Linked DNA regions of Drosophila melanogaster. The protein of the gene in region 3 interacts with the protein of the main gene of each other region in a pairwise test. Each region holds a gene or a part of one and is shown on either strand. Other genes may lie near its edges.

Region 1 (11,089 bases), on a different chromosome or scaffold from region 3:
TATGTAAAGTATTGGTGGAAATGAAGAACATACGAAACGATGAACAAACATGTTTTAAAGACTGGTTTTTTGTACACTTTAACTTGAATAAGCATGCATACTGATACTGATTATGTAAATGATTATTATGAACGAATGTCAAAGGTCCTTCAGTTGCCCCTCCCCGCCCCCGCAAGACCTGTCCCGAATGTAGTTTCCACTCAATCGCATGTAGTCAGACTACTTGCGGATGCAGACCGAGGATTTGGGAGCACACTTCAATATCCGATCGTATCAATCCAATCATTTGTCAGCTGATACCAAATAGGCGGCTCTACATGTTAAACAACCAACTAATGACCAATTTTGTGAGATTATGTTTCTTAGGCACTAGACCCGACTTAGGCTAAGACTACTTAAACGCTAGAAGGGCTTGTAAATTTCTCATACCGACACCGGCGGTGGTAACAAATGCTTCATCTGTAATATAACGACAAGAATCATATTATTTCGATACAATACTAAGGCAGGCAATACTATGCATTTTAACTGTTAAACACACATAAATAGTAGTGCGTATGATGCAACTATAGGTGGATATTTCCATGCATTATGTACATAATGTTGTAAGTGAAAAGAAAGAAAGAAAGAAAAGCTTAATCAACTGCATTGCGAATGAAGCAACGAACACCTTTTGTGTGATCACACAGAGTTCTACCGAAATCTCCCAATTAAATGTGCACACTCTTTTCGAGCAAATGGAATCCTTTCCGCGACTAAACTACCTTCACACATTAACTAAAGTAATTGAGAACGATAGAAACAAGGCCACAGATACAACAGATGATTATCTCTAATTGACGGTGTTATGCAATTTATAAATGTGATGAATGTCAAAGTTAAGCGTAAACAATTTAAAAGCAAGCGAAGAAAATACAAAAACACAAAAAAAAATACAAATAAAAATAAATATAAATATAAATATAAATATAAACAAACGATTCATGAGAAAGAGCTGAATGTAGCGAGAACTTAAGTATCTAAGCATGCCCACGATTTTAGAGCTAAGCAAATAGATGAAGATACAAATACAAATACAAATACCCAGAGGCAGACCATAGGTTTTAAAGAACGAACGAAGCATTTGCCCCACATCCTGACAGGTTACCGCAGCTTGTAGAGGCCATTGCAGCCGGAGGAGTCGCCACAGAGATCGGACAAAATCTCGCGATAAACAGAATTAATGATATGAGTATATGTATGTATATGTATGTACACCTAAGCTAATCGTAAGCCAATGAAAGTTGAAATGGACTAAAGATACATGGAACAGACAACATTGAAAGCGTCTAAATAAAGAACATCAAATTGCAAGCTCACCCTATCTGGGCGGACGTGTCTCCACGGTGAACTCCACGTGCATCAACCCGAACTGGCTGCGGGGCAAAACATCCGGTGTCCAGGTGACCAGGACTCCATTGCCGACGTAGTCCTGCGGAATAGAGGTTTACTAACGAGCTCTTTTCATTTCGATTCCCAACTCACCTTTGGTGCCGCTTCGAAGAGTATCTTAACCATATAAAGGCTGAGTCTCGGGTAGACTATACGCTTCTTCGGCTGACCCGGCACCTGTGGTTCCATCGGTGGACGTACGTAGGGAACGAAGTGACCTTCTGCATGCCGCTCGAAGGCGCGATCCAACTGCAGCTGTACGTTGGAGGTGCTAAAGATGCGCTTCGCGGTGTGCGGACTCGCAAAGTGCCAGGTGTACTTGCTGAGGCCTTTATGTTTGCCCGACTCTATCACAGTTAGCTTGTCCAACGGACGTCGCTTGACTCCAGTACTGAAGCTCTTGCAAAAATGCGAAAAGGTTTCCTTGTGCACATGGAAGTTCTGTTGCACCAAGCGCTTGGTAAGCGTGTTGCTTTCCGTTTCCAATGGCTCGCAACTGTCGTTTAGCAGCTCGATCACATGATCCAGCCATGCCGAGTAGGATAGAGCCGGCTGAACGGAAGCGTCCAAGCAAGCGGATGCAGCTGACGCTGCACCATTCACGATTAACTCCCTTTTGGCCGGCAGAGAGGGCTGCTTCAGGGACTTCACTTCGGTCACTATTTCCGAGAACTTGACCGGTGCCTTCTTGACCATCGATATGGTGGCCAGCTCAATGGGCAGCTGATCGGCGACCACAGAGGGCGTGGCCTCGGTGAAAATGGGCGGAGCAGCTAGGATGTTGTAGGGTTCACTGATCAAGGGCAGTTCTATATCCTCGCTGCATATATCCAGCTGGTCGGTGGGCTGGAACTGATCCATCAGCTCGATATTGCAGTCGGTTAGCTCGATGGGCTCCGCATAGACATCGAGGTTGGACAAGAGCTGCGAGTCGTTGGCATAGTGGATCAGGGCATCGTTGGTGCTCGAGGCGCTTTGGCTAGATGTGGCGGCCTGCATGGTGTCCAGGTTAAAGACGCCATCGGAGAGATTCGGCAGAGAAAGCTATAAACACGAAAAGGTTTAAAACTGCTCGAGGTGGAAGGTATAACTTACATCTAGTTGGTCGCCAAAGACAAGTATGTCCACCTGCGGGTCGAGCTCATCCACCATGTCCAGGCTGAGCCGCAAATCCTCGGTGGCCACGTCGCCTAGCGGAGTTTCCAGCTGCAAGGGCATCCAGAAGGTCTGCAAACCGCTGGTGAAATGGCCATAGACGCGTTTTCCCTGCGGCGAACTAAGGATGCCAGCCAGGACGAGCAGCAGGTGATCGCAGATCTCGTCCTGCATCACCAGCGAATTATCTGGCTCCACAATGATCTTCAGTTTGCGGCAGGCGCAGGCGTAGCTGCTCTTCTTCTTGGACAGGCCATTGGCCGAGACGGTGACGTGCAGTCGAGCCGCTGGAAAGGATTCGGAGCGCTCGCACTTGACGGCGAATGTGGAGTGATTCAGGCGCTGCACACCCGGCAGGTGCTCCTCCTCCTCCGCGTACTTGTACAGCTGCCAAAGGTTCTGCTTCTGCTCCAGGCTAATGTTCAGGTTCCACAGCACCTCGCGGGACACGCGGTAGACCTGCGCCTTCGCGAACTCGGCGCCCAGCTCCCGGCAAGCTTTCACATGGACGCAGTCCGTCGGCTCGCCTCCCGTTCGCTTGCACGACTCCACGAAGCACTCCGCCTTGCTGGACACCACTGCAGCGTCCGGCTGCAGCGACAGCGTGACGTCCTGGATGACCACAAAGTTGCGCGGCTGCTGCTCCTTCTCCTTGGTCCTCAGCGAGTAGACAGTGGAGCCTGGCCGCAGCGACACCAGCTGCACGGCATCGAGAACGTTCCTGCGCTGCGGACACTCGGAATTCTTGCAGAGCAGCGCCCGGTTGCCATTGATGGCGCCGCAGTGAACACACTTGCGAACGCCGCGCATGACTCTTGCATCTTAAATTCCCGGAAAATGGCTATAAAATGCGTTTCTTAGTTTTCGCAAAAGTTTGCCGGCTTTTGATTTGCGTGGCGCAGTGTGACCGTTTCGCGCGCTGATGCCAGCAGGGCTGGCACACACATTCTACATATGTGTGCATTAAATTAATTTTACTTTTGAATTATTGCTACAGTTTTTGCATACACTACATATATTTTACATTTATTTTTCATAACATTTGGGCTATTCCAGCCAGCTTGTGTAGGCAGTGCTGCGCAGCCCTGGTCGCATCAGCCGCTTGTTATCGATAACCAAATTGGCTACTTTAATAGGAAATTTGTTATTTCAATTTAAAAAGTTGACTTTCCGCTAAAATGACGCATCCGCTGGAGGCGCCGCAGCGCAGCCGCAAATACCCCTTCGTGCATATGCGCATCGCGGACCACAGCGCACTGGACACCATCGAGGGGCGCCACAACTGCCGCCTGTGCAACCGATCGCGCAAGTTCTTCTGCTACAGCTGCTGTGTGCCGGTTGGCGAGCTGGAGGAGCTGCTGCCACGTCTGGAGCTGCCGCTCCAAGTGGACATCATTAAGCACAAAAAGGAAATCGACGGCAAGAGCTCGGCGGTGCACGCGGCCGTTCTGGCGCCGGCGCACGTGAGGATCCACACATTTCCGGACATTCCCGACTATCGCGAGGAGGCGGGCGTAGTGCTCATATTCCCAAGCGCCACTGCGCTTGCGGTGCCGCAGCTCTTCGCGCGCAATGTGCAGCTTCAGATCGGCGACAACTACGGGCTGCCCAAGGGCCACCACATGGGCACCATGCTGCGCAGGCGAATGGACGAGGTGGAGGTAAAGGAGCTGCAGGAGGAGGTAGATGAGCCGGAGACGGTGCGACGAACCTGGACGCTAGACAACCTGCCCGTCCGCCGAGCCGTCTTCATAGACAGCACATGGAACCAGAGTCGCGGGATCTACGCGGACGCCAGGGTGCGCGGCCTACGAACGGTGGTGCTGCAGAATCGACTGTCGCAATTCTGGCGCCACCAGCGCGGCAGTCCGCGCTGGTATCTGGCCACCATCGAGGCCATTCACCAGTTCCTCCTGGAGGTGCACATCAATGCCTGGGGCCTGAACACCGCCTATCGCGGACTCGATAACCTGGAGATCACCGCGGGCTTCCATCAGCTGGCAGAGCCGCTGACCAAGACAGCTGCCAGTGAGAATGTGGGCAGGGAGGCGCCCTACAATGGGCAGTACGACAATCTGCTCTTCTTCTTCGCCCACATGTACGATCTCATCCACAAGTACTATGACCACAACGACCTCATCGCCTACCGACGACCCATCTAGCGTTCTAATGGACATACATATGTATATATATATATTATATTGGATGTAGTGAGAAGTACACGTAACTGCTGGCCTAACTAACTACTGATCCCACTGATTCTACTGCTTCTTCTTCTTCTTGCCCTCGTCGCCGGACTCGGAGCTCGACGACTTGGCGTCCGTATCGATGGGTTTCTGCCATTTGAGCGCATTGCGACGGTACAGCGGCCACGGTGGAATGGTGATCTGTGCAGGAATCTCGTGCTGTTAGCAATGGAGCTACTAACACGACAGCTACTCACCAGCGAGGAGAGCACAAATCCGGCGCCCAGGATGTACACGGTCTGTGAGAACTGCTGCACGAAGGCTCCGTAGACGAGGCCCACAATTCCGAAGAACGTGATGATGAAGCGCGACCAGCGCTCCGCCTTTCCCTGACCCGCGAAGTCCTGCGGCGGTAGAGTGCCGTGTTAGTGTTATGTGCTAATGGTTGCGAAGCATACCTACCATATGCGTCTGGATGTCCAACATTTTGTGCAATTCACAAGCTGCGATTCAACAATTTTCGGCGTAAACAATTTTCTTTTGCGGCACGTCAGCAGCCGAATGGTGTGACCGTGCCGAGCGAAAAATGCCAAGGGGATGAGAATATACTGGAATTTGGAACTCGGTGAATTTCCCATTATTTTTGTACATGCTTATTTCCCTCTTTTTCAAAATAAGTGTGTTTGAAAAATAGCGAAATTGTTTGTAGCTTTCAATTGTGTTTTATTATTTTAAATTTAAAATATGCAAACAAAACGGAGATTATTACTCTCTAAATGATGTTTTCCTTTGCAGAGTAAGCTCTTGAAACAAAATAAATAAGTTCAGTTCACCTTTTCTTATGCAAAATATGTAAAATAAGTTTATAGAAGGCAAAAATGTTGCATCTTTAAATGATTTATATAATTTTAAACCACGCCAATTAATGCAAACTAATAGCCCATTTAAAATACTTAACTTCATTTACATATATGTATGCATGCATATCTTTAATGCAATTATAGTCATTTTATTGAAAAGGCTTGCGATGTGAATAATCGCTCGTTGTTCATACATATGTATATTATTTGTACAATGCGTTCATAACGTGGACGTTCTGGCTTGTGTGTCACTATAACTAACTAAATAAGTTAAAAGGCGAACAGGTGGAATGTAAAGTGTAGAGGACCTCGCGCCTCCCGATTCATGGCAGGACTCAGACCCTGGCGGCCTTCGTGCGCCGCAGCTGGACGACATTGATCACGCAGACGAGCAGCCATGCGAGCAGTGCGATCCAGGCAAAGACCAGGGTGAAGTACAGGCAGGCGGCCGTATTGATGCGCCCGTAGCGTCGCCGCTCGTACGACACGCTCTCCACCAGATAGTCCATGAAGTCGAAGACGGCGGCGCACGAGAGCCGCGACTTGATCACGGGCACAATGTTGCCCACGCCCTGGATCTCCTTCAGCAGCGACTCCCTGTACTGCTTGCAAGTCACCTCGAAGCCATCCGTGAACACGGCCGAGTAGACCAGTTGGTAGACGGCCATTATTGTCGAGATGACGGTGGCGGGCAGCCCTAAATTAGTTAAGTATTACACATTTGTACATAGTTAAGTTCGGAGACGATGGACACTCACAGTAGTAGGGCGAGAGACCATCGGGCGTGAGTTCCGACTCGGTGGTCACCACGATCATGTCACCGGAGCTGCAAGCAGAGAGCAGAGAGGCGTAAGCAAACAGTTGATGCTGCTCCAAGTTGGAGCCCATGATGGCATTACTCATAGCCAGACAGACGAACGAGTGTGGCTGGCCGATTAACCCCATTGACCCGCCGACACTCGATCGCGATCGCCCGCTCTTACCGCTGACGGATGGTGGCCGTGCCCGCCTTGGGCTTGCCCCGACCGATGCACATGCGGTAGCCGTGGTAGACGCCCAGGACGACGGCGAAGAGCAGCGGCAGCAGCAGGCCGTAGGTGGCGAAGTGGCAGTAGGCGACGTTGCCGCCCTCGAAGCTGTGGAACGTGCTCTTGCCGTGCAGCACGCAGCCGCAATTGGTGTCCGGGCAGGCATTGAGCACGTACTGCCAGTGTGTCCAGGCCACCGCCGAGGTGATGCAGCAGACCAGCGATGAAACGATGGCCAGCGGGTAGAGTAGGGACAGGGCTCGCTCCGCGTAGTACGACATCGTGCGAATGGTATCTGCTCGCAGGAGTATCTGAAATAAGCGGACAAGTGAATAGTGAATAGAATATGGGTATCTTTGATCCCCAGCCAGGTCAAGTTGATCTTAATTCAACTTTAAAGTACTTATGGTAATGGGCAGTCAAGTTAATTAATTGGCCACTTTTCGAGCGCTCTAATTGCTCATCTAATTGTAATTATGCCCAATTCGTTCAAGATGATTGCTTAAACGCAATTGTGGGTTTCGTTTTACATTTCCTCAAATGGAGAAAGAACATTATTACTAGCTGTTCAAATTTAACAGCAATTTTGAGTTTGTAACGAAGCTTTTTTCTAAGAAGTTACTAACAATTGTTAGCTTATCTGATTAGTTTAAAAAACTCCTTTTTTTGACGATAGTGAGCATCTCTTGAAATTTAAAATCGATAACTTTGCAACAACAACAACTCTTTGGGCGTCCCTTAACACACACACACACTGTCGCACCTGCCCAAACACACACACATAGAACAGGTTGCAACGCGCACTGTACCAGATATAAACAAACTATAATGTTTGCAGCTACCACTTTCGATGTCCCTTTAAGCAGCTGAATTTCGGTTGCGCAAAGCGTTTAGTTGTTCGCTAATGCTGTTTCTATATCACATTTCTCACAGAATTCAGGGATAAACAGGAAAACTGCACTGCTGACACATACACGCACACAGGCGCACTGCAGGCACACCTACGTTTATCGATATCGATAGGCGGGCGACCGAAGAAGCGACCGAACGGTTGAGCGGCGAAGAAACGACTGAACGACCGTCGTTTCGCCACTGCGTTCTGATCAGAACGGGCCGCTAGTGCTAACGCTTTTAGCCGTCTGGCAACGCCGATCACCAAAATTCAAATGGGATTTCCGTTACAAGTGATCTGTGTTTAAAATTTTATTTTTGATTATTACAAGTTTTATTTAAACTAAAGCGCAGTAACTAGACAGTATTTCATGACTATGTGTTTGAGTTATGTTAGAAGTAAATTTCCCGAGAACTGGGCCTAATCAATTTTCCTAATAACTTGGAGCGCATTTGCCAACTAAGCGAATTCCCTGCACCCACTGTGAGCGTATAAAATCGCTGTTTGCCGGGGTGAAAAGCATTAGTTCTCCCAGTAAATCCAATCATGGCATCCCCAGTAGTCAGCCTGCTTCTCGTCGGGATCTGCGCCCTGGCCTTTGTCCATGTGGCTCGGTCGGAATGCTGCACCTCCCGGGAGCTGGTGGAATTCAAGATGGACAGAGGCGACTGCGAGGCTGTGCGTGCAATCGAAAACTATCCCAACGGCTGCGAAGTGACGATCTGCGCCGATGGTGTTGCCCAGTTGGGCGCCTACTGCGGCCAGGGATCGTGCAACATCTTCGGCTGCAACTGCGACGGCGGCTGTCTGAGCGGCGATTGGTCACAGGAATTTGTGAGGAGGAACCAGCAGTACGGAATCCAGATCATCAAAGTCACCAGGCTGCCATTTTAACCCCTTGCATCACATAAACAATAAAGAGAAGCTTTAATTGCATCCAGAAATTACTAATTAATTATGTGTATTTTATTTTATATATGCATGAAATTGATAAGGTTCCCACTTTCTAATCAAATGTAAACAGTTCAATCTGATTACTAGGAACTATTCTTATTTTTAATCTTGAATTCCATTAATTACGCTATTAACTAAAACTATTATACTAAAAAAAAAACAACTATCATCAAAATCTGAGATGATATGGGCTAATTTTTGAATAAAATCCAGTGCTCAAATCATAAGAAGTGATTTTTTGTAGTTTCTAGCATTTGTAATATCTGTTTCCCAACGATCGACCACGCCCCCTGGGCAACCGCCCCTCTGTTGGCCGCTCGCCATGGGAAAAGCAAATGACGCCTGCACTCGCAGAGATCGCCCCGAATAACCCCTCCATATCCACAGATCCACAGATCCCCAGATGCCCATGTAGCCATGTACTCCGCATGTAGTACGATCAACTAGCCGAGTGAATTTTGGCATAAACCATTTTCCGCGGACGCCTGATTTTCTCAGTTTTCTCAGAGTTGTGGAGCCGTCGAGAACGCGGAGCATTCGCCCATGTAAAGCCGCAGAATCCGTCGATTTTCGCCGGAATTTATCAATCCGATTTGCCAGTAATTTGCAACAGAATAAGTGAATTTGCCAAGTGAATTTCCCTAGTTTTTTTTTTCAACTTGCAACGAAAGTGCTAAAGTTACGAAACTGCACTTTCCACGTTGCACTTGCAACCCCAACAGTTTTTTCCACCAGATCCACCAGCTGAGGGAAAACTATTAATAAACCGGGCGAAGGATGAAACAAATTCAGATGTGACGCCCATCCTCGTCGAAAATCAAAAGTCGCAAGTGAACAATGTGTGTGTGTTCACTGAGTTTGCATAATTGTGAATTTGCTATTTTAATCGCCTGCGGGCATCAATTAATTAATTAATTAAAAGCTTTCCTTCTCGCACTCGTTTATTTGCGGAAAGTGTCTAACAATTTCGTTTGATCAACTAATCAAATGGGTAAATAACATAGTAAAAACGAAGTTTTAACTAACTGCTTTCGCTTGCTTACTTAATATACTTATACTTTCCAGAACTAATAGACTACTGAATATAGATTTCCTATTAATTTGCTTCAAAATGTGGTAATTTAATTAGCTTAGCTGCTTGTAAACTAATAATTTCTAAATAACAATTAGTTTGAAATGCTCAGAATTCAGTGTGACTAATTGGGAAAGCCTTGCAGAAATAGTTTAGCTCATGAATGAATGTATCTCATGCGAGTATAGCCGGCACATCTCCTCCCTTAGTTAGATACATAGATACATAGATACATAGATAGAAGCGGACGGATCCAGCAAGACCATACATACATACATATTGTACAGCTGAGACAGCGAACACCTTCAGCTTTCCGGCTGATCCCAATCCAAATCGCGAACTAGAGCGCAGTGCCCACCATGGATAATTGGAATGTTTTGGCAGCGCAAACCTCCTCGCAGGCCATCGGACTCCACGACTCTGGCGTGGTGAAGACCCGACTGGTGAGTACCCTGTACATAGAACATACACATGTGCAGATAGATATACATATTAGATGTAGTAAACAAAACAAAGCCAGACAGACGAACGATGGCGTATATATAGAATTCTTGGCAACAAACATTGTGCACTGAGAAAGTAAAAGGGGTTCGAAATCTATTATTACTATTAAATATATATATGCAAAAGCAGGCTGTGCGGAAATGTATCTTAAAGTAGGCGCTAAAGGATAAAGCTCAGAAGGTTATTCCTCGGGAAACAGAAGCATTTTCAGATGCATCTTAAAGTATCTAAGAAGTAGAAATATCTTAAGATGAATCCATAGGTTATCCGAACCTACAAAAGGTAGATACTATCAGCAATATCAGATACTTTTAGATATAAGTAAAATATAGTAAAATATCTCGAGATACTTTTATACAGCTTACTAATGATTTTGAATCTGACGAGGAAAGGAAGAGATTTGGCAGGGATTTTATCAGCATGTTTCTCCACGTGCACCGCTGGGTGAGTGGTGCTGGTGGTTCTAGTGGTTCTATTTGTTCTTAAAGAGTGCGTGAGTGGTGTGGTGCGTCGCCCGTGAACAGCACAGCTGATGCATCCGAAAGTAGAGTGATTGAGTGATGCGATGTGGCAGTGCTCTCGTTACTGGCGCTGGTCTATAAATAAGCCTAGGGTTCTCTTGAGTCTACTACTGCCTGGCGGATCTTTGGAGATTCCGATGGCACGTCGATGGGAATGCGGCTCGCAGTAGCGCGAAAGTAGCTCGATACGACGGATATTCTCGCCTCGCAGGCAGAGCACGCGTAGTTTGCCCCGTGTGTAGCTATATTTTTTTTTTATATAAGCAAGTGGTTCCGAATCATCCACACCCAGCCATGGATATATCCACCGATATCTGGGGTCAGCTGGCCGTGGAGGCATCGCAGGTCTACCTCTCCGACGGCACAGTTCGCAGTCCCTTCGCCGATACGGTACGATGGGTTTGGGATATTACTTAGGGATCCCACTCATTTGGGAGAGCCAGTCTGTGGCGTAAGAGAGAGTATCTATAGATTCACTCACCCGTA
Region 2 (10,675 bases), on a different chromosome or scaffold from region 3:
GCAACCTCTTCGCACCTCAATTGGTTGATCATTCGCAACAACAACGCCTTCTTGTTGAAGAAGCGCGATGTGAAGAAGCCCTTCAGCACAGTAAGTAAATATGGATTTAAATAACGTGCACCACATTTAAATGATGTTTCCAACTTATAACTTTCACAATGATATTTGAATACAACATGATAGTAACTTTAATCTGATAAAAGTTGGCTTCATCACTACTATGATATGACAAGCACATTACTGACTTCTAAATCCCTTCCAGGAGCCAAACAACTTGGCCAGCGTGAGCTCGTACCGCTACAGCGGCATCGTGCACAAGAAGACCCTGGGAGTCGTGCCAGCTGCCGACAAGAAGGGCTTCACCGCCGTGCTGAAGAAGGGCAAGTATGCCCAGCGCCCCGCCAAGAACACCGTGCGTGTTGACTTCAAGGCCGGTCCCCGCCGTTCCCTGAAGAAGCTGAAGAACCTGCTTATCGGCTCCAAGTACCGCAAGGACCTGACACAGGTGATTATGGCTCCAAGCCTAGAAACAACTGTTTGGGTTCTTGTCATGATGATCTTTTTTTTAATGCTACACAACCAAGATCGCAGAATGATCGTGTTGATAAACTTATCTGAAGCTCTCAAAGCTGAAGCTTATCGTACTTCAGTGTTAGGCCTATTCTAATGATTTTACTTGTGCTTATAGGCTGCCCTCCGCCGCGCTTCCGCTGTCCTGCGCTCCCAGAAGCCCGCCCCCGTCAAGGGAAAGAAGGCCGAGTTTGCTAAGGGAAAGAAGCCCGAATAAACTGTACCAGATTGGGGCTATGCGGAGCTGTTTTCTACTCGAGAATAAAGAAAAAATATTAAAAACACCGTAATATTAATACAGTTCTGTGGTTATTTGTCGATAATGGGTAGCGACCAAGTACTGCATACTTTGGGGCGGTAGTTATGAAATTTTCTATAACCATGAATGAGCTTACCATATATATTGTTGCTTATTAAACGACAAACTATATTATTGTTGATACAAAAGGTATCTTTAGATCAATCAATCTTTGTTTGCCTAAATGATTCTCACTTTTATTGAACTATTATTCCTGGGATATGGATGACGTTACACAGAAAGAGACCATGGAATTGCATTGACGGTTACACGAATAAAAAGATCAAGTAAGAGCGCTATAACTCTAGTCAAACATATATCGCTGCTTATAGTACGCTACACGTGGATTTTAAATGCGCATTGAGCTTGGCTGCTATACACAGCCTCAGTAGAAGTACTCGTACTTCTGGGCGTGGTGCAGCATCACCTCCATCGACTTCTTGCCCTGCAGGACCCCATTTCGTTCCATATAGTTCCAGATGGAGGCCATGAAGACGCAGAACAGGATCACGCCAAACACGATGAACTTGAGCAGCAGAAAGATAGTGCGCATGCCCACGGGGGCGGTGAACTCCACCAGAAGGACCAAGAGGACAAACAGGAAGGTGGCGGCGCTGTAGTACAGTATTCGATCAGTGTTTAACTGCAGCAGGGAAGCATCGCACAGCGCCAGAGCTTCAAGAAGGGCAGCAGTTCTAGCGGCGGGCATGGATTGAATGGAAGTGGAGCTTCCATTGCATTGGATCTCCGGCTGGTGTTGTGATGACTGATCGTCCTCTCCTGTCAAAGCATCCCCTGCTCCTACTTCCCTCACGGAACAGGTTTCACCATCCTCTACCAGGCAGTTCACCTCGATCGTTGCCACTGGCTCCTCACTTCTAGGTTCCAGCTTGAATAACTTCAGCTTGGCCATCACCGCCTCGTGGTCGGAGAAGCTAAATTTCTCGCCGGGTACTCGCTCCGGAAAAGGCAGTTTGTATTCGGCTATCTCAGCATTTACATGATCGCCACCACGCACAAAGATGTGATCGATACGGATACCCAGAGGATTTCTCTCCCGTGCTTGCTTAGATGTGTATGAGTTGTGTTCGCATTCGTTGGTCCGAAAAGAGTCCGAGTCGCAGCTGTCGAGCATCTTGGAGGTATAGAGCAGCACCTTGTAAGAGATGTCCTGTGGCTGGGCATTCAGGTCGCCAGCCAGAATCTGCAGCGCAGAGTTCCCCCTGGTGGCTTCAATGAATTGAGCAGTATCGAAGGCCTGAATAACGCGATGTGTCTTGTACTCGTCGTTGGCATTGTCGTACTCCGCGTGCAGGTGGGCATTATATAGGTGCACCATCTGCCCGCCGACGAGTATGCGGCACAGGCCCACACCTTTGCCGCCGAACCAATCGGCATGCTGAATACGGTGGAAGTAGCCATTTACGGACCACGCATGAAACAGAGTGCCCAGGATGGGGTACTTGGACAGTACCAGCAGACCGGCGCCCATCACGCCGCTGTGAAAGTAGTGGCTATGGGGCAGGACCGCCTCCGTGCCCTTTTGGAGTAGCTCGCTGTCCTCTTGCGCCCACACCTCCTGCAGGGACACGATGTCATACTTCCCGCTAGCCAGCTCCTTGCAGATGGCATCGATGCGGGGTCTGCGATCACTCGACACATACGGAATGCCCCTGAAAGTGCACATGATTAGCCTGTGCAGATCGGTGTCAAGGGAAGTGGGGCTCCAGCAGCCTTAGAAGGAGATGCCTGCTCTCACCATATATTCAGGGTCAGAATGTTCAGCTCCAGCAGCAACATAGCGACTTCTTTGGCCAATTTTCACGTTCGCATGCTTACAATGGAATAACGGGCGCGGGAGCAGCGATAAGATAACTTTTTGATTTTGTTATTTTTAAAAGATATAAAGCCACAGTGTGACCGTCTGGGGAAAGCCGAAATTTAATAAAGCCTGAACCCCTGACGAGCTTTGTTGATGCGACAAGTCAAAGTCGCACATGAACAGGGATGCATTTCTTTGCATTATTAATTTCTAATTGAGAATGCATTTTCTTTTTATACACTGTAACTAAAATTTTGGTAATTGCGGTAATTGTTTAAGTTATGCATTTTGCGAACAAGCTTGTCTTGCAAGGGCTAAGTATTTGAAAAACTGATAGCTTATTGTGGTATTTTTGAATAGTATGCATTGGTCACTCTATTGCCGCAACTAGTAAATTGTTCAGTATTTAGTCAAAAAATTTCAAAACATAAATAGCACAACATAAATGTTGGGACACTATGGTATTTAGGCAACAACATGATGCTACAGCTACTTCTATTCTGCCTGGCGCTCTTCATCTTCGTTTATTGGTTAGTTTTGCCTGTTCCGTGGCCCCATGATTGATCCATCATCGTTATAAACATAAAAAATTGATCACTTTCCATTTTAGGGTCTTGCCCACGGGCATTAGTTGGTATTTGGTGAAGAGGTTTCGGGTCAAAGTACGGATCGGTCGCATTTCGCTGCCCTACTTGTCCCTGAAGAATGTGCACATCAGCAAGAGTGGATTCTCGGTGGTATGGATAACCTTCGAACTCTGGTTACCAAGCGATAAACACTCCTAATTTTACAGCAAATCGAGGAGGTGTGTCTGCGCAGCAGTTTCTTCACCACCGAGGTGACCAAGCTGCTCTCCATTTATATCCGTGACATTCGCATCAACAAAGACATTCACAGTCGACAGGATGACTCCTACGACCAGGACTCTTACGAACTCCGGCGGACTCAGACGTTGGCGGGCAAAGCCTCGGAGGCGAAGGGTGTGCCAGACTTCCGGCAAACTAAGGTGCCGGCGAGTATTATCACCTTTGCCCAATTTATGGCAGTGCACGTGAACAACATATCAGTGGTTCTGATGAACAATGACTTTGATCCGGGGTGGTTCATCCATGCCACGGCGAAGGAGCTTCATTTGGACGGGAGTATAGTGCAAAATGCTCGTGTTCTGTTGGTCAATGCAGCCCTTAGCGAAGCACAGGCCAAGATGCTGAGGCACTGCAGCTCTCGCCGTCAATCGCTGGAGAATCTGAACAAGATTCGTCCTTGCCTAGGCGAGGTCAGCTTTGACATGACCCTGGATGCGTCGCTCTTTGCCCAAGGCCCTCTGTCCATGGATGTAAGTGACTTTTTGACTCCTTAGTATTCCTTTTATTAATTCCCGTTTGCAGACCCTAAGTCTGGTCATCAACAATGCCAAATCCGTCATCCACGGCGGACTGTACGAGTTCCTTAGTGAGGCCAAGCGGAGGACATCGACCGGTCAGCCATCTCGGCGCTCCACTCAAGGCCTAGCTCCCTCGAAAAGGTCCTACGACAATGACAACTACGAGAAGCTGGCGCCCATTATACCAAAGAACTTTAACTTTAGCATTAAGGCGGCAACGTTTTCGGCCGTCAAAGAAAACTCACAGAACGATTTTAGTGCCAAACTGCAGTCGTTTCAAGTAGGTTAATACCACTACTATGAGCTAATCTATAATAATACATAATCTGCACAGATCTCGGGAAAGTTTAACTCGAAAGTCACCGATGAAAAGACGTTGTTACCGTCAATGCTTGCCAAATTGGGTTTTCATCATCTAGACATTGACACCAAATATGAAAAGCTCCTCTTTGTAGAACAATTTACCATAGACTCTGTGGTAAGTAAACACATTATGGCCCAATTAGTGCAATATTATAATACTATACCTTTCAGCTGGAAAAAGACATATTCAACTTGTATGTAAAACTGAAGACATTCCAAATCATATATAATCACAGCGAGATCTATGACTTTGTCAACAACAATTTTCTGGCCCGCCAGCGATCGAGCGAAGCGCAGCCAATGCAGTTGATACATAAGCAGAAGTCCCTGCCGGATCACTTGGATCTGGACACGGCTGTGCAGAGTAATCTGCGAGCGAATCAGCGACGGGAGGGCGGAGTTCTAGAGTGGATTATGCAGCGAATTGTTGTTAAAGGCTGTGCGGAACTGTTTAATGTCTCTCTTCTTATGAAACTGGAAGATGAGCATATTGCCATGAGTGTGAGTCACACAAGATTCCTCTTGGAGCAGATCGAGGAAAAGCGAAGTAATCTCTATGAGAACAAGTTCCTCAATTTGTTGTTGAATCAACGACAATGGAGCATGGAACTCATGGTGGAAACTCTTTGGTCAAATCTAGGTAACTCCATCAACGACACCAACAACTTGAAAAAGACTCATTCGCCAGGCTCGCCGTTTTTCCTCGGAGTGAGCTTGGTCAAGCTCTGCTCGTATGCAAACACCACTAAACTGGACATATCAGTGCACACATTTCGCACGGAATACAGCATGCAGCTTGCGGAATTCGTGGTCAAGTCAATGGAGTGCCTTCGGCAGTACCGGGGCATAAAACCAAAGAATATGTCGGGACAATCTCACGCCAGACCAAATGCAGGCCTTACATTGTCCGTGCAGCCATCACAATCATCTACCTCACTGCGGGTGTCTGTTAAGGTCAAGGATATTACGGCTTACTTTGTCAATCATCACAATGTTTATTCGCTGCTCAGTTTCTCAGAGCTGAATTTATCACGGTCTCAAAGCCTGACCACCCTAAAGCTCGAAGAGTTTCAGATGGCTATAATGCGCTCAATGACGGCTTCTTCGCTTTGCCTCACCGACTTCTCTGACGTTTTTGCTACATGCAAAATGATACGACTGGAGCATGAACAAGTGGAGGGTACGATGGGCAAGTTGTCCATTTACATACCCGGCAACATGGAGGCCACGTGGAACTCTAATTTGCACATGCACCTGTTGACATTGGTGCGCGATATGCAGGACTTGAAGACAGAGCTGGCTATTCCTGCTTCGTCTGTTAAGAAAACAACTCCTAAAGAAGGATTCATAGTGGAGTTGTCTGCAGAACGTAGCACCATCTTCGAAATTAAGTTTTCTGATCGTCACTCAATTCAGATCTTTGTGGAAAGCCTCTTCTTTAGCCAAAAGGAACGATGCATCATTTATGCGGAGAATGTGTTTGTCAAGATCGATGATCAGCACATATTCACAGTGAAGGAGCTGGATCTACAATCAGTTCCACGTCTCGAGGTACTCACCCAAGAAAGACAAAACTTTCCTGGTTTTCAACTGCCCTCCAACAAGGTGTGGGTCACCACAATTGGATCCTTTAAAGCCATTTTCCCGTATGACCACGACTTTTATAACGCAGTCAATGGAGAGTGCACATCGCACTTTAAATGGCTAAAAATGGTTCACAACTACAAAAAGAAACCCTTTACGGTGGACTCACCGCTACCCTGTGATTTGGTTATTAAGATCAAGGAGTTCTTGCTGGAAATTAGCGACGATCCCTTTGAGGTGAAACTTCGTGATAACTATGTTCTATTAGTGGATGAATACTTGGAGAGCTTGAAGCGCAAAGCGCTTTTTGACAAGAAGATCGGCGAGCTCTGCTCAGAACGTCTCTTGTTGCCATCTGGAACCATTGAGGGTCTCTACGCCAACCTGGTGAAGAAGAACTCGGAGATCTACATTCAGCGCTCGAAGAAAATACGAGAAAGTGGACCAGTACGCACCCGATTGCTGGCCTGGATCATGACGGACGTGAATATTATGGCAATGGCGGACACCTCCATTCATGGCTACAATAATGTGACGCGCATTATGCGCGAAATAGATCACGAGAGTCCGTGGCCGGAGGAGGGTCTCGAGTTCTCTACACTTTGGTGCCGCGGTGTCAACATCAGCTGCACTGAATGGAAATTCATGCTGAGGTAAGTGGGAATCTTTGTGACGAGTTGATTCAATATTTATAATCTATTGATTAAATTTTCAGGGACTTCCCGCAACCAATGTTCTGCGTAAAAAGCATGCGACTGTACGGAAACCTTTGTGGAGCCGAGCAAATGGGCTCCAAGCGAGCCAAGCGAGATGTGTTCATTGACGTGGGTGAACCCTTTGGTACGGATGTGATTCAACGCAGCATGCCCTCGCTAAAATTCTACCATGACTTTGATTGCGAACTGGAGAGCTGTAGCTACGCCTTTGGAGCTTGCTGGGAACCTGTAATGGCCCAGTGCAATCTAAGTTTCGAGAAGATATCGGCGCCCTCAAAGGATCCCTCTCCCCCTTTGCCATTTTGGGATAAGCTGCGATTGCTTCTGCATGGTCGGTTAACTCTGATAGCCAAGCAATTTACCATACTCCTGCACGCATCGCTCGATCCGTATAACACAACAGAGGAAATGGAGTTGACCTGGAATAATTGCGGCATTGTACTCACAAATGCCAAGATCATGTTTAAAGGGGAACTTAATGTGAGTGTGTAGCTTATAATTTTATAGTTTTTTGCACGAATTTAAATATGCTTTTCTTTTAGGTGACTGTACGAACAGCGTCCCGCTACGACGATTGTCGTCTGCTTCATTTTCCCAATCTTAAGTTGACGATTAAGCTGAAATGGGTGTGCCTGGCTAATCCCAACGACCACCATGCTGTGATGCCCTGTGCCCCCGACAAGCTGCCGGAGTACTCGAGTAATCAAGTCCATGACTCCTTCCGCGCCTTCCGCTCGCTAAATCTCAACATTTGGATATCATTTGAGACGAAGCCTAAGGCGGGCGAAGATTTGGAAGTGGACATACCCAGCCTGGTGCTGTACGGCAGCACGTTGCGATGGTTTGAGAGTCTGCAGCTCATTTTATCAGGTGTGACGAGGCCCACGCGACGGGGTCCGGTCTTTAACAATGTGAGACCGCGTAAGAAACCCCTTAGTCGACACTACAAAAAGGCGAACTTGCAGATGTGCTTGCATAAGTTTCAAGTTCTTTACTGGATGTCCCACGCCCTCCAAAAGGGATTCCAGTTGAACGGCCGCCGAGTATCTTTTAGTTCTGAGCACTCGCTAACACTGAATCCCATTGACGATGGGCTCATCCATCGGCCACGAGCGGATTGGTCAACAATCTACATGAACTGCGAGCTCAATGACGCCGAGATCTGGCTTAAGAGTATTCTCACCGAGAAGATGGACAGTAGCTCTGAGAATTTGGCCAGTGCAGCAGATGCCTTCAAAATCGTGAGATTCTACTTCCTAAGCGTGGCCAAGGTTTCCTATGGACGCGAGGCACTGATACCCACGACGGCTACAAGCACGGAAGAGGATGTTAAGGCCCAGTCCACGACGCCTACGCATAAGTTGGTGGTCTATGACCTAAAGGGTGCCTGGACAAAGAGCAATCGAGATGTGGCTTTTGCTCTCTTTGATTCCTTCATGAAGTCACAGAAACTGAAAAACAATTTGTCCACGGAGGCGGTAAAGAGCTATCGCAAGGAGGGTCCAAACTCTGCCGTTTTGAAACATAAGCGAAGTGACAGCACAATTACCTTGTCCAGCACCAACAACGAGGTTTTGCCAAGTGAGTTGTGGAAGGATAACTTTTAAGTTTTCTTTTCTAAAAAACGTTTTTTTCTAGTTTCCAATCCAAATGCATCGATGAAAAAAGCCCCCGCCCAGATTCATGCCACAGCCATGTTGCAGCAGCTCATCGCAGAGGCGGACCACAAATTCAATGTGTATAGTGATGATCATAGCACCCAGTCGAGGGAACTGCAGCTCCAGGGCCTGCAGGCATGTTCCGCCCAGGATATTATCCACGAGAACTGGTCCATCAGTCTGGTGAACTCACAAGTACTGCTTAAGGGCTGTGAGACCTCTGGCTACGTAATTATCAGTGCTGCCAAAGCTGAAATTTTGCAGCGGGAACATCGGCCAGTTTGGCGCGAGCGCTCGCTGATCTCGAAAACCACATGGAAGGGATTGTTGGAGTGCATGCAGTACTATGCAACAGTTAGCGCGGGGGATAATAATTCCCTGTTGGAGAAGGAGATCATGTGGCTGACGGTGGACAACATTCAGGACAAGGACGAGACTGTGATAAACAACCTGCCGGACATATCACATTTGGTGGGCAGTGGACGCAGTGTGGGCGGTGTAGTCTCAGAGACTGTTGGAGCTTTCTTGAGCGACAATTCGGGAGGGGCTCAACCCGTGCAACTGCAGCGCATCGTGTCCAAGTGTAAGTGCGAGTTTTTCTATGTGAGCTACGGCGATGCCATCGATCCGAATAGCATTACGGAGGTGCCGCCGCCCCCTTCAGAGGAATTGCAATCGCCATGGGAAAAACAAGACGATCCCGTAGATGCCTTCACACTTATGCATCACGATCTGGATGTGTGCACCAACTCGCTGCAGTACGCCATGATTCTGGATATTGTAAACAATCTATTGCTTTACGTCGAACCCCAGCGAAAGCAGGCGGCAGAAAAGCTGACAAGAATGCGTTTCCAGCTTCAGCTGCATTCGACGGAGGATCAAAAGCGACCCATCCAGCAGAAGCAGACGGTAATCCGAAGTCTACTCATGAAGATTCGTTCGCTGGAAAAGGATACACACATGATCAGCAAAGAGCGTATTGAGGATGGCGACTCGCTGGAGCTGCGCCAAGAGTACGACCATGTCCAGCAGATGATCCGGGAGAGCAAGGAGGAGCTGAACACATTTAGCGAGGACCTGGACATGATGTTGCTCTGCTATAAGGAGACTCAGTTGTCGCAGCTCAGCAAGATATCAAACGTGCGCTCCGACGAGTCGGTTACGATGGTGCGGACCAATGAGATCTGCTTCAAGCGTGCCCAGTGGAGGCTTACGGAAACGGATGGACAGATTGGCATAGCTGATCTTGTCCTTAGTGCTTTTCTGTACACCAAGAAGTCCAAGAGCGACGATTCGGTGGAGCATTTGCTGGAGCTGGGCAACATACGCATGGAAAACCTTTTGCCGCGAGAAATCTATCGCGATGTTTTGCTGGCCACTGAAATCCAAAAAGACATGCCCGTGGACACCCACAAGCGGGTGCTACGTATCTTCTGTCGGGAAAAAGCTCCAGTGGGTGGCATATCCGTTAAGGAGCATTTCGAGATTAATGTGGCTCCTATTACAATAGCCATAACGAAAAAATTCTACAGCACCATGCTGAAGTTCTGTTTCCCGGACCGCGATGCCTCCGAAACGGAGGTCAGTGACGAGCTGGATGACAATGCCTCAACCAGTTCGGCGTCTACAACGAATTTACAGGCCAAGTCATCAACATCTTCGTCGACCAAGCGCTCGGGTAAAGGAAAGAAAGGGGCCAAGGACTCCGAGTTCTATGTAAAGATTGAAAAAGATGACGTGGAGAAGATGAAGGAGCGCGCCGAGAAAAACAAGCTGTTTATCTACATCAAGATTCCCGAAGTGCCTGTGCGCGTCAGCTACAAGGGCAACAAAGAGAAGAATCTAGAGGACATCACAGACTACTCACTAGTCATACCTACGCTGGAGTATCACAATGTGACGTGGACGTGGCTGGATTTGCTTCTGGCCATGAAGTCGGTGAGCCGGCGGGTGATATTCTCGCAGGCCATCAAACAGAAGCTACATATCCACCAGCGGCAACCGATTCTATCCGCAGGCGAACGAGCGACCCCGCAAGAAGCGGAGGATAAGGCTGTAATGTTGTTCGGAAATCGCCTATTGGTAAGTTAACTACATCTGGATGATAATGAGGCACTATATTCCAATGATTTGTGTATTCGCAGAATGAAAACCGTAACCAGAAAAAGGGTGTGTTCAAGTTTGCCTCGAGCGGAAAGAGATCGGGAAATGATTGAGACGCTTGTGTTCTTTCAACGATATTTGTATGCTTTATATTTATTACTGTACGTTCAAAGGATG
Region 3 (11,552 bases):
GGAAACTCGTTGACCTATTGATCGCAATGGATTTTTACATTCGATTGTTCGGGTGGGACGTTTTTTTTCCCCAAATTTAAACACAATAAATGACACGATTTCTTCAAAGCAAATGAAGTAAACCGATTGCGAGTCATAAGACATAACTGCTGCAATTAATTTATATTTTTAATTGACTTCTGCAACCAGCTCGTGACGTTCGTTAATCCATATTGTTTTATAACTTATTTAACGCAACGAAATTTTCCACTCACACACGCACAAAAGCTGAGAAACTCGGGCAATTTTTTTGGGGGAAAAAAAATATGTGAAATGGGAAAAACGTGTGTATGTGTGTGTGTGTGTTTTAGCCGCACACGCACACACACGTTAAAAATAGCAGAAAGTTGAAAATACTGAGATTCGTTGAGTTCGGTTTGATTTTGAGTTGAAACAGTTCCGTGCCTCGAAAACGCAGCCAATTCCAAAAGAACGCTCATCCGGTCAGCTGTTTTTTTGAAGCAGCGAATTCCGCTCCGGATGCAGATTTGCGGATATCTAGAGCGAGCGGAACGAAACGCACGAGCGGCGGGCAGCGACTGGCAGTCGTTCGAGATCGGTATCGGTATGGGGATCGCGTAGTAACGACAACCACACGACGGCGACGACGGGAGAAGCGAGTACCCCCACAATGCCTCCTCGCACCACAGGGCGTATGCGAAACCTGTGCGAATTGGATGGCTACCCGTTGCGTATACGCCCAGTTAAACTAACTTTCTTGTGCGGTTCCCCGACGCGACATTCGAGCGACACGTCCAAACGCCAAACGCTTGCAAAGCGAAAAGAAATGCCCGCCACTGTCCATGGCATAGTCAAGCCAATTTGCTCGCTCTTTCGCACTCTCTCTCTCCGTATTTCAACGGGAATTCATTTCAGGGATCCCTCGCTGAATTCATCCGAGAGACTGGAAAGCGACAAGCAGCCAAGAGAACGGACCACAGCAACTGAATTAGAATCTGTTGCTTTTGCATCTTTTCTCTCTCGTCCCGAAACAGCTGTTACATAGCGGATACTTATAGACCAGCATGAACAATATTTGGTCATAAAGAAATATGAATGAACGAACAAATCGTGATCGTTGCCATGCATCCATCCATCCCCATCCATTTATCGCAGCTATAGATCGCAATGGTGTATATACTCTATTCGCTCTGCTTTGTTTGCCTTGGGTCAGGTAATTGGCTGAATGACAGGCGTTTAATGTGCGGCTGACTCACGACCTCCGTCACAAAGATCTCTCCGGTGGGGGGCGAGACCTGGTATTAATAGGTGATAATTGAAAATGGTTTGTGGATAATATCGGTCTTGGTTATTCCCGAACAGAGCTAATAGCAGGGCATGCACTTTATGGCCCAACTGAAGTGCCCTGGCCAGTGGCCACTTAATATGCAGTCGACCGTCACATGTGCCCCACTTTCCTGTAAATGCAATTACCCCACATCTGGTCATGTTCCCCCTTGGCAAGGAGCTTAGGGAAATCCTCCCCTGACTCGGGCATGTGGGAAACGCAGTCGCAAAGTAGCTCCTTTTGTGGGTGGAGCTGTTTTGCTGTACACGTCACAGGCCATTAACTGGAGTATACAGACACGCACCCGCCTACAAGGGGAGTGGATGATGGTTCTGCTCCAAAGTAAACAGGTTATACAATTTCTAAATTAAAAGACAAACAAGAGAATGGAACATCATGTCACCCGCAAACAGAAGTTAGCATACTCTAAACAACACAGAAAACATCCTACAAATTTTAATTAGAAAATACCCCATTAGGAAGAAAAAAACAGGTAAATTTTTGCGCAAGCACGAGAATACATTTTTAAAGAGGTTGCCATTGAACCTTAGTGAAATTCCCAACTAAAAGCAAATCAATTCCATAGCCCCAAACAACAGCTGTCCGATCCAGAGAAATCTCAATTTCCTGGCTGGCAGATTATGAATTTAAAATGTTCTTTTTAATTTGTTTTTGATTGCCAAGCATATTTGTGCTTCTTGTTTTTGAATTCCATTATTTACGATATCTGTTCGATTTCGTAGACATTTAATTTTGTTTTTATCATTCGTGTTTTACGGACAGGCATTGCTCCTCCGTTCTGGTCAGAGATCGGAGATGGAACGATGGCGGAAATCAGCAACAGAAATACATGTCTGAGTCACTCACTTTCCTTGACCTTCGGTGGAAGTTTGACGAATGACGGAAATCGAAACATGAAAACATTTTTCCGAGCCGAAAACAATCCACAGGCAGTCCAAATCCGAAATGGAATCTTGTGGTCGGAGGAGATGGTGGCAAATTGCTGGTGGAACTCGGACACTGATAGGCAAATGATGCAAATCACGAGCGGATTTGATTGATGATATTTCTCCCATCAAAGAAGCCGGATACTGGCATGCTAATGGGAAACTTAAGCACAATACATTGATTCGAAGGCAAATAAAAATCGCATTAGAGATTTTGCTAAAGCTTGACCTTTTGACACTTAAATGTCCAAAATATATACACTATTTATTTGCTTTTATGAAAATATGAATTTAATGGGATTTTTTAATATTTCAAAATCTTATTATTTGCTGAAATCTCTTAGGCATGTTTAAATCGGATTACCTCTTCTTAGCTTGTATTACATTTTAATTCCACTTGAATAATTAGAGAAATCGGACTGATGTGTTTCAGAAGCAGTTCCACTTGAAATCAGGCCAAACGACAGGCACTTGGGAAGGACTTGACGGGTTCTCACAGCTGGGTGATGGCGAAATTGGATCGAAAAGGGGCATGGGGCTTCTAGAAATCCGATATATATAATGAAATATTCATACACATGTGGCGAGTCTGCCTTACTCACATTGCCATTGCCCCATCCATTGCGCGTGTGTGTGTGTATGTTCAACGTTCATTGTTGTGGCAAATACAAAAGGATTGAGAAGCAACACACATGCACCTAACACACTCATACACGACTATGCACTTACACTTACGCAAATGGCAGTTATGAGGGGGAGTGGTTGGGTGGTTGACATAATAAGAATAACGAGAACAACGAGCGACAGCAACTTGAGGCTGCTTGAAGTCAACCAACACTCTTACGCAGGGAAATTGCCCGACGCACTCACACTGAGATACATCTACACCATCGGGCGAAACAATAGTGCCCGCCGACTATTGTCTATGAAAATTTGAATATGAATTATAGTAAGGTGAATCCGATTGGTGGTACAAGGCACTCAACTAAAAGCTATCATTAGTTTACACCTTGTTATGATTGTTATACTTAATTGATTCTGAGTTCTTTGCATTTGGTTACGAAAAGTTTGAATTCCTAATTTATTATCCTCAAGTGCGGATAGGGCAGTGGCCATCCTAAACCCCGGTGCTTCTGGATGTCCGCGATAAGCCAAAAAGTCGGGGGAGACAACAGCAATCGACATCAGCACCGACGTTAGGTGTTTATGGGATGTAGCAGCCCCTAATACCGGCATGTATTTATGCCTGTGGGTGGGAGTGAAGGCCGAAGGATTACAACACCAACTAGGCATAACAATAACACTAAAACTCGAAGGCAAGGACCGCACTCGTGGATGCTGCCAGTTAGGCCAACCATTTGGCACAGATACGCGAACTCACAGATTTTTCCTCTAGTCGAGAATTTGGAATTTAAAATCCGAAATCCGGAGTAGGTTCGGCATCCTGCTGCGTGGCGACACCGATTGGTAAGTTCACAAGGGGCCACAGGATGTGCAATGAGTGGCTGAAACTTGTTTAACCAGCAGCGGCAACGGAAATTAGGTTGCTCCTGGGAGCTGTTACATAAAGTCCATGTGTGGATGAGTGTGCGTGTGTCTGACAGCAGACATAAATCTTGGCAAATATGCAAGTTGTGCCGCCCAGAATGAGCAACTAGGCCCAGCGGGGGAGGACACACGAGCCACCGAGTGGCAGGACGAGTCCAGGAGACGGGATATGCAACAGGAGCAGTCCAGCCACCGGAGAAACAATTCCCCCAGTCCGCCTCTTTTCTACGTTGTGGGTCTGTTCCCCCGACAGGCTATTTGCATTGGCTTCTTTCTGCTGCCGTGTAGAAGATACATTTCGACCCAACGCGACACACTGCAAAAAATATCGAGCATTTAAAAATGCGGAAAAATTATACTTTTAAACAATTTTTGAAAAATCTTTAAAGTTTCAGTTCCATCTTAATGTGGCTTTAAAAATTCCTTTTATTGCGTCTGTTGTGAACTTTGTGAACTAACAAATCTGACCCAGTGGCCAACAGGATGGGAAATCCGAAAAAAAATCAGGACTCACCCAGAAAGCAGAGCAAACAAGAAAGCCGCAAAAACAGCAAAATGCAACCAGACAACCCGTGGGCACATACTCGATTTAAAATTTCCTGCGCAGCAAATGTGCAAGGACACCAGAAGGAGGAGCTGCTAGGAGCCAGAAGAAGGTTGATGAAATGACAAACAGGAGACGCGCTTGGCGGCGATGGCGAACTAGGCAAAGAGCACACGGGATATCCGTTTCCGCCCGACAAGTGCCCCGCCCACTGCCCACACATTCCAAAACCAAAAGGTCGCACACAAAGTTGCAATGAAGCGCAGTTCTAGTTAGCTTCCGGTATCCCCAAACCGACCCCCCCCCCATTTCCACACCTCCTTTTCCTACCGATACATTTCAGAACGCAAGCAACAACACCAACATAAAGGACACATTCAAGTTTGTTGGCCGCATGCAAAATTCAAATTGACATAAACACCGAGACGAGCGCTTGATTGTGCGGCTTGTGTGACTGTTGCTGGCTATAAAAAGTGTGCACCACTCATCCAACCGCTGGCCCGCTCGCCATCACCCATACGCCGTGTGGTACCAGTACCAGCAGTAACAACACGGCAAATGGCAAATACAGTGAAGCTTCACACTGAGTGTACACTTTAAAGCTTTTATGCTAAATAAATATAAATAAATATCCCATTGAAGAAGTGCTGAGAACTAGAAGATTTAATGACCTCTATAAAAATTTGAATTGATAATTAAAAAACTAATTAATATATCATATTTGACCAGGAAGATCAGAAAATAAATAGCATGTGTAGTTAAATTACAATACAAAATAGGCTCAGACATTTGAAATAGGTGCAGCTGAAGCCATGGAAGCTCTACTGTAGTTGCGAGGATGGAGAAGGCAAACACCCATGCCACACGACTCCCATTCCCCAAAGTATCCGAGTGTGTGACGCAGAACGCAAGGTGACTGAAGTTTGTTATTTCGATTTCGCAGCCAGGCGATCGGGATGCGGCGGTTTTGGGGGATATTATTCTATCTACTCACAGATCCTCGGCGTTCCGCCCGGCAGCACTCAGTCGCATTCACTTTGCACCAGTGCCCTGCAATTGTCTCCGCGATTATTTCGATGCTATTTATAGAGCCCAGTACCGTGTACCAGCAATTATCTGTGCAGTTATTTATCTATCCGTGGGCCAGCTACTTGTGGATTCTTTGTTGCTCGCACGGCTTCTGATTAATAAATCGCTCAGGTATTACTCATTCGCTGTTAATTTAAAAATTCGTTTGTTCGATTATTGTTTACAGTTAGCATTGGGTTAGGGCCCCCGACCTCAGCGTTTCGTGTGTTATTTTATATATTTTTTGGGGGTTTTCCCTTTTCGGCGGAGAGGTTAATTTCTTCTATTCTATTCTAGTTTGTTTTTCTCGCGCGCGCGTTTGCGTTCGTTTCGTTTGAGTTGTTGGTTCGTTTCACACTGAGCTAGGGAAATCATTGAAATTTCTGCTCAGGCGAGAAATGAAAATGTTTTTCGGCGGAGCAGCCAAAAAACAAAAAAAAAAAGCGGCAAGAAACCGCTCTCTGCTGCATTTTTTGGGGCGGGATTTTTCTCGGGGAGGTGAGAGAGTATGATGGCACCGCCGGTGGTCAGCGGGAAAGAGCTTTTCCGGCGCCCCCGCTACTTTTCCACAGCCCCCGGAGGTCGCACCTCAAAGTTGCCAGACTGCCGACGTGGCGTATGCGTAATGCGGGTTTTCCACTCTAGAACGTTAATTGTTTTTTTGTTCCTTTTGGGTTTTCGCCCAGTGGCTTATTGTTTGGCCAGCCTTAATTGCCGACGAGTCTCTGGGGTCCTGGCAGCCAAATAAAATTACGACTTGTGTGCGCTTAACTACTAGATGATCCCTGGTTAAGTTTCCACTTTATCGCATTACACGACTTTCGAGTTAGGTCGCGGCAAAAACTTGACTCCTGCCGATTCTTGGTAAAAGTTTAGTGCAGCTTCCGCGGAATTCGCTCAATTACAGCTGCCAGCGGGCTGTTTAAAAGTTTCTTACGAAAAAACCCCCACCGAAAATCGCTGGGTCGTCATGTTTAACCTTCAGTGGCAGCGTATTGGACCTTGAATCATAAGTTAATTAGAGTCGGAAGCGGGCAGTGAAAGGCAGCCATGGACATGGATACGGATACGGATGTGGCATGTGGGTGGGCAACCGAAAGCCTCGTTCAAGGACTCGCACACACTCGCATCCTTGCGCTCGTATCTGTGTGTGTTTATGTGGCATCTACAGGTAGCCGCAGCAACGACTCCCACAATTCCTCGAGAGCCTGGTTCGCTTTTGTTTCGATTTTCTAACGAAATCGAAACTCTACACTCTGAGAAAAACAATAGGAAGCGAGCGGGAGAGAGAGAGAGAGCGACAGAGCGCGAAAATGGAGGGGGGTTTTTCACTGAAAAGAGAAAGAGTCACATACTGCGCTTCGGAAAATGCATTCTTCATCCCAGTGCAAAGGAGACTGCATCCTTGATGCCGCTGCAAATTGTCAGACAAAGTGTTCTTCGAGTCAAAACTTTCCGCTTACTCAACTCCGCACTCGTTCTCCGCACTTTTCAAAACTTTCCAGCACTCGTTTTGCGTAAATAATTCATGTCGAATATATTTTTAAGCGCACACAGATGGTCACCAACACTAGCGGGGCAGTCGCGTAACCAAAACAATGACACTCGACAGCCGATGGACCGCTTTTCCGGGAGCCCGTTGCGACCAAGGACGAGCACTCGCCTCGACTGTCCTATGGCAACTGAGCTCCGCTGCACTTGGAAGCTCTCTCCTTGCTCCTTGCTTCGCCACCCGCCCCCATTTTCGGCCCTTTTCCATTTCCCATTACCCACCCGGTGACCAAGTTTTCCTCGGGCCGCGTTCGGCTCGGTAACCGATTGCTCGTCCTTGCTGTGGCATGTAGGCCACAACAGAAACGAGCCTCCTTTTTATTGAATTTTTGAGCACACGCAGGACAAGACATCCTGCCCGCCGAGAAAAGCTTTTCCAAGCGGTCGGAAAGGGGTGAAAAGCTGGGCTGGCTGGCAGGTCCGTATGCTAGCGGTAAATTGCAGGGCAACAAAGTTGTAAACAAATCGTTAAAGTGCTGGAAATAACTGGGTTGGTGGTCTGCTGTCAGGCGGAATACATAAACCCTGACAGTTTTGGCCTAAGGAGTGAGTCCTTTTGAGCTTTGTCGAGCTTTTCGCGTGTGAATAACAATATGAGTGTTTGGATAATGACATATCAAATGACCGTTGGAGGGAAACGTAAGAGCTTAAGTAATCATTTCTTATTTTTTATTAACAATATTGTTTAAATATTTTGTTTGCTCGGAAGTCATTTAGTCAAGAGTAAATTGTGCATTCTAACGAAACTGAAACAGGTATATTTATCTATTTATATTTAAATATGCATAAATGCTTATTTTATTTCTGAAGTAAATTAAAAAAAATAGCTGTTCAAATCTATACCGGAAGTAGCATGCGCCACCTAGCGAGTAGCCCACGAAGCTTGTTCAAATGTCCGAAAAGCTCGCCTAATAAATTTGAAATGTAAACAAATGTTGTTGGAAAGCTTGTTGGCAACTCGGGCGGCAGCAACAACTACACAAAAGCAGCGATGTTAGCGGCAGAGAAATTGCAAAGCTTTGTGAGCAACAACAACATGATTTTTGTTTGCTCGCTTTGTTGTTGGTTCTGAGAGCGACAGCTGTTGTAGTGTCCGTGAGAGCGCAGTTTATGTTTGTGTGCGGTGCTGAGTAAGCAACTGTTGTTGTTTCAATGTTCCCTGAGAGTTAGAGCAAAGAAGAAGAAGAAGCGCACAATGGAATTATGATCACTGGAAATTCGCAGGTAAGTTTTCAGGTAAACTATTTGGGTTCCTGTGTTTTATTTTTTTTGTCAGAGTTACAGCGTAAAAAATGTGTATTTTCTATTTGCGACTGTCACCTGTTCACTAACATATTTTGGGGAAAACCAATTATACATGTTAATGGACGTGGAAATAAATAGAAACATTACCATTAGACAGTAATAATAAGCCTGAAGTTATATTCAACATAACAATCAACATACATATGTAAAAATTGTATTGCCCAACAAAAAGATCTTGAACATGATATATCTTTTGAAAATCCATTTGAATCAATCGATTTCGATCAGGATTACCTAGTAGTCCGCTGATCCTTTGAGAGATCCTTTCGGGGTGGGTGACTAGCCTCTAACGACAGGCAACACTCTTGATGCAGTGCAACTATTTTTGTTGGCCTGTGTCCCTTTCCTACCCTCCACAACCGACAACCAACTCATTGTATCTGTATCTTTGCATTTCGTACCGCGCAGTTGCCGTTTCTCCGACTCGAAAACACTCGTCATTCGTGTGCGTGTGCATTGTTTGTCTTATTTGTTGTTCGTTGCCAGCAACAACAATAAAAAGTTCCCTGCTGTTGAGCAGCCAGCTGTGTGTGTTTGTATTGGCGCATTGGTGTGTGTCCGTGTTAGTATCTGTGTGTGTGCGGCGGAGAGTGTGCGTTGTTCTCTGTTTGCTCGCCGTCCACTCGTGTCATGTTGTTGCTGTTGCTTCAGTGTTCTACGTAGCCGATAGATACTGGTTGATACACTGAGGGAATACGTGTTTAATTGGTACTTGTTTGAACCTCATAACTATTAAATTAATACCGCTTACATGGATCATTAATAAAGTCTGCAAATAATTTTATATTTTTCCCTTTAATTAAGTTTGGGGCTAATAATACATTACCAATTTAAAACATCTTTATATTACATTTCACAATTGCCAAGTGACAACTCTATTTCTCTCAGTGCACCGCTCGCTCTCGCAGGGCAGCAGTCGCATTTGTGGCTGTGTCTGTGTGTTTTTCTCTGTGTGCTTAGTCGCCTTGGTCGCTTGGTACGCGAAACATACGACATTGCCAACAATCCAACAGTCCGCCGCCGATTCCCGAGCGCCGTGCACCGTCGACTCGACCGCGAGTTTTCGAATTCAACATTTTTGAACGTTACGTCAGTCGTCGGTCGCTGCAGCAGCAGCAGCAACAAAAATATTTTTGGCGCCGTTTTATTTGTGTGCCGTGCATCGTGTCGTTTTGAAATCGCTGCGAGCAAGGAGTTGTTGCGTTTTGAAATCGCCTCTGCAACAGGAGTTTTTCTGTAATCCAACGACGAATACCAACCAAAAGGTAATGAATTCTTTGCTTGGAACAACATCACAAGTTAGGAACAACAGCAACAATAACAGCCTGATAAGCAGCAGAAAGAAAAATTCTATATGCCATATTGTTTCCTTGTGTGCGATTGCCTGTGAATGTGTGTGTGTATTGTGTGTATTGTTGTTGTTGTTGTTGTCTATCTAACAAAGTTATTGCGATTGTTGTTGTTGCTGTCATTGGGCCACGGAATATACAATATACTGTATGTATTTTTGTTGGTGGAGGGAAACAAAGAGCGGGCCGGGTATTTCTGCAAGTTTTCTGTGTTTTGTTAGCTTTAGAAATAAATTCTTTTTTTTTGTTGTTGTTTTTGTTTTCCGTTGGGTTTTGTGTTTGGCTGTTGCTGATTCTGTGTTTTTCGATTTGTACGTTGCTGTACTTTTTGCTGAGCCCCGTTGTTAATAGATAAACATGAACATTTCTCAAGGAATTAGTACGCGCTCATGCTGATATGTTTATGTTAAATAGACGTAATACAATAAATATTGCCATATAGCCCAGGTTAGTTGTTTTTCTGCCCCTTCCAGTCGCCATTCCCATTCCATTCCATTTTCCCCCCGCCCACACCGCACACAGCAATCCAACAATAACATTAACAAAAACAACAACGGGCAGAGCCAAAACACGCGAGCAACGTTCGCCTTGATAATGATGTTCGCTGATAATAATGATGACTGGCCAAAGAACACAACAATGCTGCCAGCGCACAGTGGGACCAAAGTGTTACGAAAATGGAAAGCAATATTAATTTTTTGTTTGGTTCAGCTTAGAGTGCTAGAGTTTTCTCTTGCTACTTTTTTATGTCCGAAAAAATAGAAAACTTATTGGACTCTGAACCTGATATTAAGATTAATAGTTGAAGGGAATTATTACCTACGATTTTCCAGAGATTTACTTACAGATGTCCAAAAAATATATATATACATATAAAATACCATCTAATAGGTTTCCAAGCAATGTGGAAATTGTTATTATATTTTTCCTTGATATACTTTTGGTAATGCCCTTTTTCGATTACTTCCATCCCACTGTGCGCACGTTTTTCGCTTTGCAAAACTGGTGGGCCCAAAAGGTGCTGAAAGTGGCGGGAAAACTGTCGGAGATTTAAGAGCGGCCCAAGTGTCGCCGCGATAGAAAGGGGCTGACGGCAAAAGGGTAGGCAGTCGAGTGAATGGACAGGTGGAGTGGGCTGATTAGAATCGAAACAGGTAGTCGCAGGTGCGAGAGCGAATCGTTTGCAAGTAGTGAGCAGTGAGTGCGGTGGGTACTCGCACACATATTCGTGACTATTCAGCGGATTTGGTTTTGGCCAACATGTTTTCGGATATTGCAACACAACATTGCTTGCTGCACTGAATTGCTGCTGCTGCAGCAGAGTGTTGCTGTTGTTGCTGAAGCATTCTGTTGTTGTTGTTACTGTTGTTTTGTTGCTGCTGCTTTAGTTGTGCTGTTGTTGCTGTTATCAGTGAAGCAGACAAAAGCTTTCAGCTTTCGACGCCAGCAGCAACAGCAACAGAAACAAACGGCAACAAAAACACAAACAAGCAGCACAAACAGCCAGATTGCCTGTTATTTTTATGGCCGCTGCCATTGTCGCTGCTGTGGCTATAATAATATGAAAAGTAAACAAAGTTGCTGGCTGTCGTCGTTTCGCCGCCGAGTTGTCAACATCAACGCAACGCAATGCTTTCCTATCCTATCCAGCTAGCCAAACTGTACTGAATATAATGGCAACTACAGCTACAACTACAACTACAACGACAACAACGGCCACGGCTACAACAATGTTTTATTAAGTTTCACGAAATATATATGAGCGAAAAGCTCTATGCCTCGTTTGCTGAGACAGCAGCAACAGACAGCGGAACAGAACTGAACAGAACACAACTGAACCGAACTGAACAGAAACCAACACACAAACAAATAACACGACAAAACGAAAAGAAACCGAACACAAAACCCCAGCA

What was found.
Region 1: the proteins of jp (region 3) and CG2310 interact in a two-hybrid assay, tested with the Drosophila melanogaster proteins (one large-scale study listed by BioGRID).
Region 2: the proteins of jp (region 3) and nSMase interact in a two-hybrid assay, tested with the Drosophila melanogaster proteins (one large-scale study listed by BioGRID).

Annotation. Positions count from the first base shown.
Region 1 is NT_033777.3:29,485,781-29,496,869, forward strand, and holds CG2310 (uncharacterized protein), read right to left. Parts: upstream 7,739-11,089; 5' UTR 7,470-7,738; intron 6,972-7,469; 5' UTR 6,942-6,971; coding exon 6,616-6,941; intron 6,459-6,615; coding exon 6,391-6,458; intron 6,330-6,390; coding exon 5,968-6,329; 3' UTR 5,744-5,967; downstream 1-5,743. Other genes in the region: CG2321 (uncharacterized protein), read right to left, coding at 1,361-1,471, 1,525-2,475, 2,527-3,396; CG2006 (uncharacterized protein), read left to right, coding at 3,765-4,748; Spase12 (spase 12-subunit), read right to left, coding at 4,848-4,973, 5,030-5,176, 5,235-5,258; diedel, read left to right, coding at 8,099-8,446; FipoQ (F-box involved in polyQ pathogenesis), read left to right, coding at 10,898-10,993.
Region 2 is NT_037436.4:3,211,297-3,221,971, reverse strand, and holds nSMase (neutral sphingomyelinase), read right to left. Parts: upstream 2,817-10,675; 5' UTR 2,669-2,816; coding exon 2,628-2,668; intron 2,542-2,627; coding exon 1,254-2,541; 3' UTR 1,047-1,253; downstream 1-1,046. Other genes in the region: RpL28 (ribosomal protein L28), read left to right, coding at 1-90, 263-505, 689-787; hob (hobbit), read left to right, coding at 3,168-3,220, 3,301-3,427, 3,484-4,026, 4,079-4,354, 4,409-4,552, 4,609-6,674, 6,737-7,217, 7,280-8,318 and 2 more.
Region 3 is NT_033779.5:9,559,644-9,571,195, forward strand, and holds the start of jp (junctophilin), read right to left. Parts: upstream 7,108-11,552; 5' UTR 6,790-7,107; intron 5,796-6,789; exon of another isoform or gene 5,361-5,795; intron 784-5,360; exon of another isoform or gene 754-783; intron 539-753; exon of another isoform or gene 445-538; intron 1-444.